2 linked regions of the Danio rerio genome follow. The protein of the gene in region 1 interacts with the protein of each later gene in a biochemical or structural test. Links are inferred from orthologs where the notes say so. Each region holds a gene or a part of one and is shown in the gene's direction. Other genes may lie near its edges.

Region 1 (7,010 bases):
GGCACTGTTGAAAGTATCAAAGTGCAAGTATGTGGGAATGGTGATAAGTTGGCAAAATAGAGGTTGTAAATGGCACTAATTCCATCTGACGATTGCTGTTCCTATATTTATTTGCAATAGTGTGCAATTTAATGTGTGAAAGGAGAGAAATTACTTTTTCTGCTTAACAGAACTGTTTGGGAAAATATCTAATTGCGATTTGTCTGACAGAGATTGCAATATGATTTCTAATTTAATTATGTGAAGTAAAGCTTTAGCTCAGTATTGTCAACAGTATGCAGCACTCACTTGTCCAATGATCTAAACTAATTAAATCTTACAGTTTTTGAGGCATTTTCTAAATCTCTTTAATTAAATTTAGCATTTAAGGCAATATCAAATATGTTTATTGTGGACAATGGTGGCCAATTCAGTTAGGTACCCACTGCAGTATAAATAAATAAATTAAAAAGATAAAATATGTTGAATATATTATTAATAAAATTACACATTTGATTTGTTTACAGCATTCGTTGCAAATATGTTTGTTTTTTTCAACAAAGTAAGCTATATTTGATGATGCATAACCATCTTGTACATGGTAAATAAATATATTTTCTTTTTGTATGGTCTCTGTTACAATTCACCAGGAACTGAACAATGTTATATAATGTAAACTTTGATTTATAGGAACTATTCATCAAAGAAAAAGTGTCACCATTTGCTCACACTGGTGTTCTTTAAAAATTGTTTGCCATGATACATAAATACAAGATCATATTCTCAAGAATGTTGTCCAAACAATATTATTTCCTGTTAAGTATGAAAAATGAAAAAATTACCAAACTAACTTTTTTTTCTCATAGAAGATGTAACAAGGAGGACATTGGTCTTAATCTGAGCTAAATCCCATAGTATGATAATGTACAAACATCCATTTTCTCCAGATGTTGTTTTGTAAATAATCATTATTGTCTCCTATTTTATCAATGCCTTCTTTTTTTTAGAAATGTGCTTACTTTGCAAACTTTGCTTACTTTGTATAATTATAACCATATAGTTTATTTTGTGAACAAAACACATGACTAAAGGATGGTTTCCTAAAAAGATTTTGTAAGCTTTTCTATTAGCTTGACAAAAGTCCAACTAATAAAATTTACATGAAAACAATGAAACCATAATTCATTCATTCTCCTTCATCTTAGTCCCTTTATTCATCAGGGGACGCCACAGCAGAATGAACCGCCAACTTATCCAACATATGTTTTATACAGCGGATGCCCTTCCAGCTGCAACCTAGTACCAGGAAACATCCATACACACTCATTCACACTCATACACTACACCAATTTAATTTATTCAATCCACCTATAACACATGGCTTTGGTCTATGGGGGAAACCGGAACACCAGGAGGAAACCAACGCCAACACAGGGAGAACATGCAAGCTTCACACAGAAATGCCAACTGACCCAGCTGGGGCTCAAACCAGCGACCTTCTTACTGTGAGACGACAGTGCTAACCACTAAGCCACTGTGTTCCATAAACAGAAATAAAATGGAATACAGAAACTTGTGCAAAATAAAATATTTTTTCATATTTATTGTACAACATATAGATACATTTGGTACATAACATTTACAATAATAATTATATTATTTACAATGGTACCAATAAAGAAACAACACAAGAACAAAAAACAACAGAAATCAAAACAAAGAAATATGATATCAATAGGTTATCTAATCTGAGAATAGATGCAACAGATAATGAAATTGAAAATAAAAAGGGCAAAATAAAAAAGATAACAAAGATTGGGATATTTAATAGATTACACATGTTGTGCAAATTGTTTACGTTTTGAGTGCATTCTTGTTAAGTGAATCTGGAATTGTAAGTAAATTTTGATCTCTTGTATAAAATACACAAGTGGATTTTATATTTGAAAATTTTATTTATAAATATAAAATATAGGCAGGGCGAAGCAGTGGCGCAGTAGGTAGTGCTGTCGCCTCACAGCAAGAAGGTTGCTGGGTCGCTGGTTCGAGCCTTGGCTCAGTTGGCGTTTCTGTGTGGAGTTTGCATGTTCTCCCTGCGTTTGCGTGGGTTTCCTCCGGGTGCTCCGGTTTCCCCCAGAGTCTAAAGACATGCGGTGCAGGTGAATTGGGTAGGCTAAATTGTCCATAGTGTGTGAGTGCGTGTGTGAATGCATGTGTGGATGTTTCCCAGAGATGGGTTGCAGCTGGAAGGGCATTTGCTGCGTAAAAACTTGCTGGATAAGTTGGCGGTTCATTCCGTTGTGGCGACCCCGGATTAATAAAGGGACTAAGCAGAAGGAAAACGAATAAATGAATATAAAATTTACATAAAAATAGAATAGGGTTTATTGTGAAGCAGACATTAAATTTGTATCTACAACCCAAAATAATAAATGTTGGATTCACAGTAAAATTCTGTAAAATAATATTTGAGATAAAATAAATAAATAATAATCATGTTACAGTTTGGACCAATGACAGTCACGCATCAAAAGAGCGGAAAAACGCATAGTAGAAAAGCCTATGACGAAGAGCCGCAGGAAAGTGGGTGTGGTTATTGTAAAACCACGTGATTGTCACCCAATCAAATCATACAGTCACAGCAAAGAGGCGGGAGCAAAACAAGTGTGTTTTACATGAGCTTTGCTGCAGTCGCGGCTGTGTCCAGTTTATCGAAATGGCGGAGACGGCAGACAGAATGGAGGTAAGCTGAAGCTACTCAAGGCCGGTTCGCCAAAAACGCTTCTGATGCTAAATATCTCGTAACCGTATCAGAATCGACACGGCGATTTTATTTACGTCACACGCCGGTTCCGAATCTTTGGTCTGTGAACAGATTTGATTGCTGCGTATGTAGTTATCAGGTGGCTAGAAATGTGCGCACACGCATCTTGAGCATCCATTTTAGCCTGCCGCAGATAATTCATTCATTTCGCATCACGTGTATGCTAGTGCTAATGTGCTAAATTTGAGCTAGCTTCGAGTTTTTAGTTGTTGAGTGTAACCACAGATGAATTTTGAGATTAAATGTATGAATATTTCTGTCATGTTAGCTACCGTTAGCTCGCTGTTCAGTTTCCACGTGAGCACGCTGGCGGAGGACTTCAATGACTTATTGTTGGGCAGAGACCGCATGGGACTGATGGATAGGAGCTAACGTTACGCTTTTTTTTCCTCTCTGCTAATCACAGTGATTGGGTTTTTTAATAAAACATCCTGTATTGTTTACTATGATCTAGTACTTGCGTCGTGACTAAGTTTTCTTTTAGACCACTTTTCCTCAAATGTGTATAATTAAAAAGTAGAAAAATTTAAGCTTAAGAGGACTCTTCAAAGGTTAACGTTAGGCGTGTGAAGATAAAATATGACTTTTTTTGCTTAACTATCCATTTTAAAAAAAAATGTGTAAAATGGTTCATTGCCTGCTGTGATATTTGCCAAAAGTTGGAACTAAATTCAGAGGAAGCCACCGACTTTATGTAGTTCTGTGTAAAAACACTGTTTACTCAGGGTTATTTACACTTGGCATGTTTGGTTTAAACATGTTTTGGGTCATCTCTTGACTAGTACCTTATTGCTTGCTTGTTTGTTTTAATATACTGAAGATACTGCAAATGTTTGAGAAAAGCCCAGCTCATGACTTTACTTGCTTATTTACATTTTTCTTATCTATTGAAATTGAGGTGTCCCAGGGAGAGAGCTCAGCGAAACCTGCAGCTGAAGACATGACGTCCAAAGACTATTACTTTGATTCCTATGCACACTTTGGCATTCATGAGGTACTTTCTTGTTAGTTCATTAATCTCAGCATTAGTGGTGAAGTCAATTTAATTTATTTATAATTAATGTAAACCCATTGAATCTTCACAGGAGATGCTAAAAGATGAAGTTCGTACTTTGACGTACAGAAACTCCATGTTTCACAACAAGCATCTCTTCAAAGATAAAGTTGTGCTGGATGTGGGAAGTGGTACTGGCATCCTCTGTATGTTTGCAGCCAAAGCTGGAGCCAAGAAAGTTATTGGGGTGAGAAGTAGTCCCATGATTTATTTAAAGCATTTTTGTTACATTTAAGCCATTTATTTGTATGTGGTATTATTTGATCATGCTGTGTATTGTCAGATTAATTTATTAATTTGTTGGTCATTTATTCCTTAGATTGAGTGCAGCAGTATATCAGACTATGCTGTGAAGATTGTGAAGGCCAACAAGCTGGATCATAGTAAGGCCTTCTCAGAGCTTTTGGCATCTTCATTGTTAACTTATTTTCTCAGCATGTTTCAAGGGATAGTTCACCCAAAAATGAAGTTTTACTCCCTCTCAAGTGGTTCTAAACCTATCAGTTTCTTTTTTTCCTGTTGAACACCAAAGAAGATATTTTGAAGAAAGCTGTAAACTGGTAACCGTAGTGACAGGTTTGCATCTTTCTTCAAAATATCATCTTTTGTGTTCAACAGAAGAAAATCACAGGTTTAGAATGAGTGAGGGGAGGTTAAACAATGACCATTTTCAGTTTTGGATTAACAGTTTTGGCCTATACCCATTTTATTCTTTATGTACCTAAAATTTTTAACCATGTACTTTTTCCTGTCCAGTCGTCACTATAATTAAGGGCAAAGTGGAGGAGGTCGAGCTTCCTGTGGAAAATGTAGACATAATCATCTCTGAGTGGATGGGCTACTGTCTCTTCTATGAATCCATGCTTAACACCGTCATTTATGCCAGGGACAAATGGCTGGTGGGTGTATGCTAATGTCTTTTACCATGTTGAAACTGTTCAGTATAAAATCGTATGTGCTTTCTTGATTTAATCACTGTTCACGTTTTCCATTGTTGGCTTTCAGAAACCTGATGGCCTGATTTTTCCTGACAGAGCCACCCTCTATGTCACTGCTATCGAGGATCGGCAGTACAAGGATTACAAAATCCACTGTACGCATCAATCTCTTAATGCACTCTTGAGTCTGTTCAGCTTTCTTTAAAGCAGTAACTCATTTAATTGTTTCATATTTGCACTTTTTTAGGGTGGGAGAACGTGTATGGATTTGACATGTCCTGTATTAAGGAAGTGGCCATTACAGAGCCGCTGGTGGATGTTGTTGATCCCAAACAGCTTGTTAGCACTGCTTGCTTAATTAAGGTTTGTTTGCAACCTTTTATTTTCCAATGTTCACATAATCCCTGCTTTCCTCATTTAATATTCAATACGTTTTCTTGATTCCTTAGGAGGTGGACATCTACACCGTGAAGATTGAGGACCTGTCCTTCACGTCACCTTTCTGCCTGCAGGTGAAAAGAAACGACTACATTCATGCTCTGGTAACCTACTTCAACATAGAGTTCACTCGCTGCCACAAGAGGACAGGCTTCTCTACCAGTAAGTGCTGTGTGTGGTGTTCACCACAAAATCACTTTGTATTCACCACGAGTTTATTGTATTGAAGGATGGTTGAACCCTGTTTAAAGTGAGTTTTGCTTGCAGGCCCAGAGTCTCCTTACACTCACTGGAAGCAGACTGTGTTCTACCTTGATGACTATCTGACAGTAAAGACTGGAGAGGAGATCTTTGGCACTATCAGCATGAAGCCCAACGTCAAGAATAATGTGAGCCTTGTGTGCACGTCTTACTTTTAGCACCTTTAGTGAAAGTGTAGGGATGGTCATATATATCTTGTTACCATTTTAATGGGTTGATTTCTGTATTAAATTGAACATTTTTCCAGTTTCTAATTTATGAAGTCTAAAAGCTCTTCATTTGGAAATTATATTGTAAAATTACAACTTAATCACTTCTAAACGTTTTCACTTTCTTTAATATTAATTAGGGGTGTTAACCTACACTGGTCTCACGGTTCGGTAACGATTATCATGCCATCGATTCAGTTTAATTCGATATCTCAGTGCAAAATGAGTTTTTTTTTTTTTCTCCCAACACTATTTTTTTTTTTATTAAAATCTGAAAATATATTAATATTTATATATTATTTGTAACACAATTTTGTCCTTTAATACAAGAAGTAAGATATATGAACTGTACCTTTAATTTGACCTGCTCAAAGAAAACACTCTTTTTCAAGGTATCAAACAAAACTCCCAATACATACACAGAAGACAACATGAGCATTTTTAGGCAATAAACTTATGGAAATATTATCCCACTTGCTTTGAGCGTTGTTGAGTGAGGTCTTGCCTCTATGACTGGTTATTGTCTTCACCCGTTTGACAGAAACAGCTGTGATTGGCTTTAGACATAAAAGTGCTGTTCACTGATGAGTGACACGGGAAGAACAGCCATGGTTACAGTCTATATGTGCATAATATGCAGTTATCAAAGGTAATCCACAGTGGAGAAAACTCGCACCACAGGGAGGTTCGTGTCTGGATCCACAAGTATCGCTTTACCAGCCAAGAGAAGGGGAAAAGTTAACTCATGAACAGGCCAGCGGGTCAAATATACAAAAGTGAGGGAGGGAGGGAGGGAGGGAGGGAGAGAGAGAGGCAGAGATGGCTTTTTACAGCATTTCTCCTTAGTAGTATAATAGCGGCTCATGTGCTGTGTCTTCTTCAGTCAGTCTCAATGAAAGCCTTTCCAGTAAACTCACAAGCAGTTGAACTGCAAAATTATCTACCTTTTCAGTAGTAGGAGCGTTTTATTTACTTGCCCTCTCCTACTTCGCCATAGTATTCTACTGCGACATCGTGCATAGGAGATAAATGACATCAGTATCCAATAGTTTTTTGACACCCCTAATATAATAATAACTTTAATATCGGCCAAATGTTATTTGCAGAAAAGTTAATATATTTAGACATGCATCTCTTGACTAGCCAATTTTTTTTGCAGGATCATGTACACTCTGCCTGCCTGCACTCCAGATTCAGTGCAGCCCTAACATTTTTAATAGTTCCTCCCCCAAAAATGTTTTGTTGCTGAAGTAAAATTTTCTGCTATACAAGTCATTAATGCTTTCAGAGAGAGGATTTTTTTAAAT
Region 2 (5,729 bases), on another chromosome or scaffold:
TCATGATGCGATCTCGTAGCTTCATTCAAAGCAAATAAACCAAGCTGTTTTGGAACTCTTAAACTTACCTCAACAACAATAATTTCTTGAAAATATGTAGCTGCACCAGGTCTAAATAGCATTATTAAGAGAGAGAGAGAAAAAAAAAAAGTACTTTCGCTTAATACGTTGGTACATATAACCTCCATGGTTTGACAATATGATATCATGCACCCCATCTGCCAGGTTTTCAGAATGAAATCTACAGTCTGTTCAAAATAAATATGTAGAAGCTGCTGTTCTGACACTTATCCGTTTCCACAGGGCTTGAGTTTACAGGTGGAGAGGGAACAAACTATCCTCTGAAGTTTGACTCCGCCCCTGGTGAGTCTTAAATCTCCTGCATAAAATAATCAGAGCGAGCTGTTGTTCACTTGTTGTCGTTGTAAGTAAGCTGAGTGTCTGTGTAACAGGTGCTTGGAGAACTGCCACGGAAGAGTGGGGCACGGAGGACTGGAATGAGGATGTGAGTATTTGAACCGAGACCAAAAACCTGCTTTCCTTTTTAAGAACAAGGATATCAATTTTTTTTTTTTTTTTTTTTTGCTCTCCTGTCTAGTTGTCAGAGACCAAGATATTCACTGCCTCCAGTGTGGCATCCATGCCCATTCCACAGGAGAATGTCACCATTACTGCTGGACAGAGGTATGCCAATGGATTTTTAAGAGAATATTGTTGGCTCCTTTAACTGAAATCACTTCGACCTGTCATTCATTCTCCAGCACTACCAATGAAAAATTGGTTAATGCTTACAAAGGTCTTCTATGGGTGAGGCTAACTAAGTGCCGTTCACATATCATGTCTTTTGCGCACACAAGTTTGTTATTTCCAATGGAGGTGCACGCATTTTGGCAGTGATGTGTGCGCAAGCGTTACTCTGGCTTTCCAGGTGCACCTAGTTGAAAAAATGGCATGAGCGCACCACGAGTCACTTGACGAGAACTGATCGATCAGCTCCATTTTTTTTAATTGGAATATATACATTTATTCTCCGGAGTGAAAAAACTAAACCAAAAAAAAGCCAAACAATTTTGTAACCGTACGTTCACACCGAAAGCGGCGAGAGCGTCAAAGTATCCGGAAGTCATTCATTTTCAATGAGAGCCGGCGGCGATAGGCGTCGATAAGCGGCGAGGAGCAGCGCGGCGCGTCTTCGCCGGCGTGAGCGTCGAGGAGAGTTGAAATTAAGTCAACTTTATGGTAATGAGCTATGACGCGGTTCGGCGGCAAGCAATCAGAATGAAGACGTCCACCGCTTGATAGCAGTTCAGGGAACACAGACCTGTGAACTTTGGTTCCGACCACAGTTGTTCCCAAGGGTTTGATTATTGCGGTCGCCGGATTTCCCATTATTTACAATGTTTTCTTACAGGAACATGCATTAAATAAGTTACTGGCGAGTTACTGATGTTTATTAATGTTATATAAATTTATCTTTAAAAAGCGGGAATCTCACGCGATGTGACGGTACAAAACAGTACTGCTGCTACAGGATATTTCAGACATATGGACACATATTGGATAAATAGAGCAAAGCCACACCACATGCAACTTGATCTTCCATTGTTGTATGAATTTGATAAGAAGTGCGCAACATTTTCAAGCTAAAAACATGTCTTATGCAGGAATGTAACTGATATGCTGCAACGGCTCCTTTAAGTACGAGATTAATGTAGCGAGTTTTGACGCTCTCGCCACCGGAGCTGAAGGCAGACAGCGTTGTCGCCAGGGCGGCCAGAGCGACCTTGGACGCTCTCGCCGCTTTCGGTGTGAACGTACGGTAATATAGTTGATCAAGAGTGCCATTCAGAAAGAGGTTCCTTTGCCTATATTTCTTGTCTTTTATAAATGCTAAGATGTAGCTTAGATTCACATTATACAAATGTTACTTATTTATTTGTTATTTAATTATTGTTCTGTCATTTAAGTCAAAAAAGAGAAATGGGCTATTTTTTGCTGTATTAATTATTTACAGATTAGCAATAATTAACACTTTAAAACCAGTTTTCATGTGATTTTTCTAAACTAGTAGTGTTTTGAATTTAATAAATAAATAATCATGATAACTGTGAAACTGATTCTTTTTCAGTATACTATATCTATATACTATCACTATAATCATACAAATAAAATCTATAATCATTGCATCCATCCATATTATATAATAATCAATTTTCCATTATGATTTTAAATGCCTTGCTAATTTAATATTTTATTATCCTATGCACTCACCTTTCTTACATAAGCATGTTTGGTTTCCAGGATTGATCTGGCTGTCTTGCTGGGGAAGACGCCTCCCTCTTCCTCTGAAGCAGAGCCTGCTTCACTTGAAGGCCCACAGCCACAATCTCTGTCTCAGTCTCTAGTGTTCAGCAACTCAAAGCAGACATCATCACTGTCTCAGTCCTCCTCCAGTGCTCCTTACAGCCAGCACAACATGGTGAGAGAGCTTGTGCTTGTGTGTTTTATTTATTTTCTTATTTATGCATAGTTTAAATTGTCAGCATTTTGGAATTTTATTTTTACATCTAGATGTAAAATATTTAATTAAGCTTATTTGGAGGTGTGTAACAGTTTGTTGAGTTTGTCAAGATTTGTATCATTTTAAGTGTCATTTTAGTTGAGTCTTTTTGGAGTTTCTTCACTAGGATATGCTGTATATGCTGATATGCTTTTTCATTTAGAACTTCAGATTGATTTTAATAATAAATGGTATCCCACACACTTTATGCTTATACAGTTGCAGCATAATTTTACTATTGTCATTTGCCTTTTTCCTCAGGTGAGCATGCTCGGTAAGGGTTTTGGGGATGTTGGTGATCCAAAAACAACCACTGGAGGTTCGACGACTGGTTCTCAATTTCTGGAGCAGTTTAAGACTGCCCAGGCTTTGGCCCAGCTGGCGGCCCAGCACTCACAAAGTGGACCACCCAATGCTGGTCCTTCTACCTGGGATACCAGCCCATCTGCACTGGGGCAATATGGTAAGAGTCATCCTTTTGCTGCAGTTTCTCAACATTGTCTAGTATTGGGTCATTAGTATTAGACATGGTCTTACGCCCCATTCACATGGGGCTTCAGTGTCAATGCATGACCGAGGGCGTGTCTGAAGTCGGGGCTGACGCGATCGTCATAGAAGCGTCAGCCAATGAAATTAGCCAGCAATGGGCCACTGTCTGAGCTGGTGTATTTGCATACAGCGATATGATTGGCTGACGCTTCCGTCGACGCTTAAAGTTGAGCAAGTACCAACTTTTGCAGCGAGCAACGCCTCTGAAGTGGCGCCGACGGATCCACAATACAGTTCGGCATTGCCTGATGTTACCCATTCAAAGTGAATGGAAAGCGATGAAGCTGACACCCTGTGTGTTTGGGGCCTTAGTCAGTGGCATTTTGTGAAAAAAAAAATTTTAATTAATTTTTTTTTACCACGAGCATTTACACAAACCCAAACCAGTTTAATGTTTGCACTTGTATTTACTGTGGCCTATTTTTGATCGACTGTATGAAATTACATCTTTAGTCAAACCACTGGCAGGACATGCTCTCACCTTTCCATATGCACCAGAAATTTAGGGCATACTCTCACTTTTTTACAGTTGCCTTAAACTTTGCCGAAGTGCGCTTGTCCCATCTCCCCCAACGGCCCGCATTACATTCGGGTCTGAGCACGCTTACATCATCGTTGATGCCCTGTTCAGTAAGCAACGCTCTCGCTCAGCACAGTGAAGATTTCTTTATTTATATCGTTTTAGTCGTTTGGGATGCAGTGACGCGCAGTCAAATGTCTCGCCGAACAGATCAGCAACTTTTGAAGCTTCTAAACGACCATAAAGTCCCTGTGCTGCAGGAATTACGAGGTTTGCTAAAGGTGCAGCGAGGGGTTTGCGTCTTCATTAATCTACGACAGTTTGCTTTCATTGAACAGTAAGAATGATTAATTAATCCATATGAAACCTTAAAACCCTTAAAAGTCACGTCTCGTCTTCAGTTTCGGGCTCAGGCACGCTTTGTATTTGCACTAGCCCAAGTGAACTGTTCTCTTGCACACCTTTTCCAACCGGGTCAGGTGAACCATGCCTGAGCCCGATTTAGAGCACTCACACTTCTCAAACAATCCAGGAAACGGACTTGGGCATGGTTTGGATAGCATAGTGTGAGTGCACCCTTTATCAACACTCTTCCTTGTTTTTGAAAACATTGTGTAATTCTTGGTATGCTCCATAGGTGAGTGGGCTTGCCAAACCACTCGTAGGACACTTTCTCTTCCTAGTCATAGAAATTTTTATATACTGCTGTTCTCTGATGATTTTGAAGTACTAAATGAGTAAATGTATTGTGTAAATCTTGTTTCTGCAGATATGAAACCTCAAACAGAGCCTGTGCACAGTCCATTCACCAAACGGCAGCCCTATCAGCCAGCCTCCACCACCACCTCTATGATGGATGCCTTCTTGCAGGACAAAACCACAGGCCCTTCTAGCACCTCAGCTCTACCCCCTCAGTCCACCCAGGCATCTTCACTGGCCCAGGCCATCACCACCCCAGTCTCCAAACCCATGGGAGCTGCTCCAGGACAGCAGAACTCTTCCAGCCCAGCTGACCCGCAGGCGTCCAGCCCACTCCCCCTGCAGCAGCACAAACTCAAACAGCAGAAGAAGAGGGCTTCCATCACGACCAAGGTCACCTTTCTCAAAGTATATTGTGCTTTTAGCTGTGTTTTTGGGTTTAGTGGAATTAATCCATTTTACCAGATTCACCTTTTTCTGGATGCGACTACATTTCAAATTATGGCTTGCACTTTGGTTATTGGTAATTTGTATTAAAAAAATTCTTCAAATGATTATCTTATGCTACAAATGATCAAATACATAGTGCAACTGAGTGAGAGGTATGTCAGGATTTGCATTTTTTAAATCCATCGTGAAAATTTAAACTTTTTTTTTTTTAATTTTTATTTAAAAAATTTTTTTTTAGACCATTGATGGCCCGTTTGCACTTATTTCACTTAATCCACTTTTCACTTAGTGTTACGGTACACTTTTATAGCCGTTACCACTGTCAAAAAGGTACAGTAAAGCAAACTGTGCCACCTTTTGGGTGTCATTTTGAAAGGGTACCTAGCACGACAAAAGGTTACCAAAAAGCGGAGCTAGACCCGCAGCTGAATGCTATTGGTTTACGGAGATGCGTCACTAGCGCGTACACAAGCCAGCAGAATGAAAACGAAGGAAGCGCCATTTTTAAATGCACAGCTAAGACATTACACTGTAATAGTGTATGCTTATAATAATGAGCCATGGTCGACCCGAGCTCAGACAAACCTTGTCATCGTCTTGATGAACAGCCACAAAGCCGAGAAGAACAAAATCTGCTGTGTCCTGTTGTTGTTGTTGTTTACGGGGCCGTCTTAAAGTGTGTGCTCGTGAGCTGCTGTGCATTTCTGTATTTGAAATAACAAGCTTTTTGGGCTGATGATAATAACGTGCGTGTGATTTTTGTTGAAGTGCTTCTGACTTTCAACCCTTTCAGAAACGAGTGAAGTGCGGAAAAACAGAATTTGGAAAAAAACAAAGGAGCAAATGATTTTTTCTGCAACCTAAAAGATGAACAAACTGCCATGTTTAACTATTATTATCACCTTTTGCACTATTATGAACTCAATGGCGGAGTTACTTTATAACAGAGAT

The links. The genes of interacting proteins can lie anywhere in the genome.
Region 2: of the proteins of prmt1 (region 1) and ubap2l, one has a biochemical effect on the other in vitro, tested with the Homo sapiens proteins (2 studies listed by BioGRID, with this or other methods). The link is inferred for Danio rerio from reciprocal best matches to the Homo sapiens genes PRMT1 and UBAP2L.

The regions. Positions count from the first base shown.
Region 1 is NC_133178.1:31,170,378-31,177,387, reverse strand, and holds the start of prmt1 (protein arginine N-methyltransferase 1), read left to right. Parts: upstream 1-2,604; 5' UTR 2,605-2,695; coding exon 2,696-2,722; intron 2,723-3,701; coding exon 3,702-3,797; intron 3,798-3,888; coding exon 3,889-4,044; intron 4,045-4,176; coding exon 4,177-4,240; intron 4,241-4,613; coding exon 4,614-4,756; intron 4,757-4,862; coding exon 4,863-4,950; intron 4,951-5,042; coding exon 5,043-5,158; intron 5,159-5,244; coding exon 5,245-5,395; intron 5,396-5,500; coding exon 5,501-5,622; intron 5,623-7,010. UniProt on the Homo sapiens protein: Arginine methyltransferase that methylates (mono and asymmetric dimethylation) the guanidino nitrogens of arginyl residues present in proteins such as ESR1, histone H2, H3 and H4, FMR1, ILF3, HNRNPA1, HNRNPD, NFATC2IP, SUPT5H, TAF15, EWS, HABP4, SERBP1, RBM15, FOXO1, CHTOP, MAP3K5/ASK1, MICU1 and NPRL2.
Region 2 is NC_133194.1:8,827,294-8,833,022, forward strand, and holds part of ubap2l (ubiquitin-associated protein 2-like), read left to right. Parts: intron 1-303; coding exon 304-363; intron 364-452; coding exon 453-505; intron 506-598; coding exon 599-684; intron 685-2,301; coding exon 2,302-2,479; intron 2,480-2,821; coding exon 2,822-3,023; intron 3,024-4,398; coding exon 4,399-4,721; intron 4,722-5,729. UniProt on the Homo sapiens protein: Recruits the ubiquitination machinery to RNA polymerase II for polyubiquitination, removal and degradation, when the transcription-coupled nucleotide excision repair (TC-NER) machinery fails to resolve DNA damage.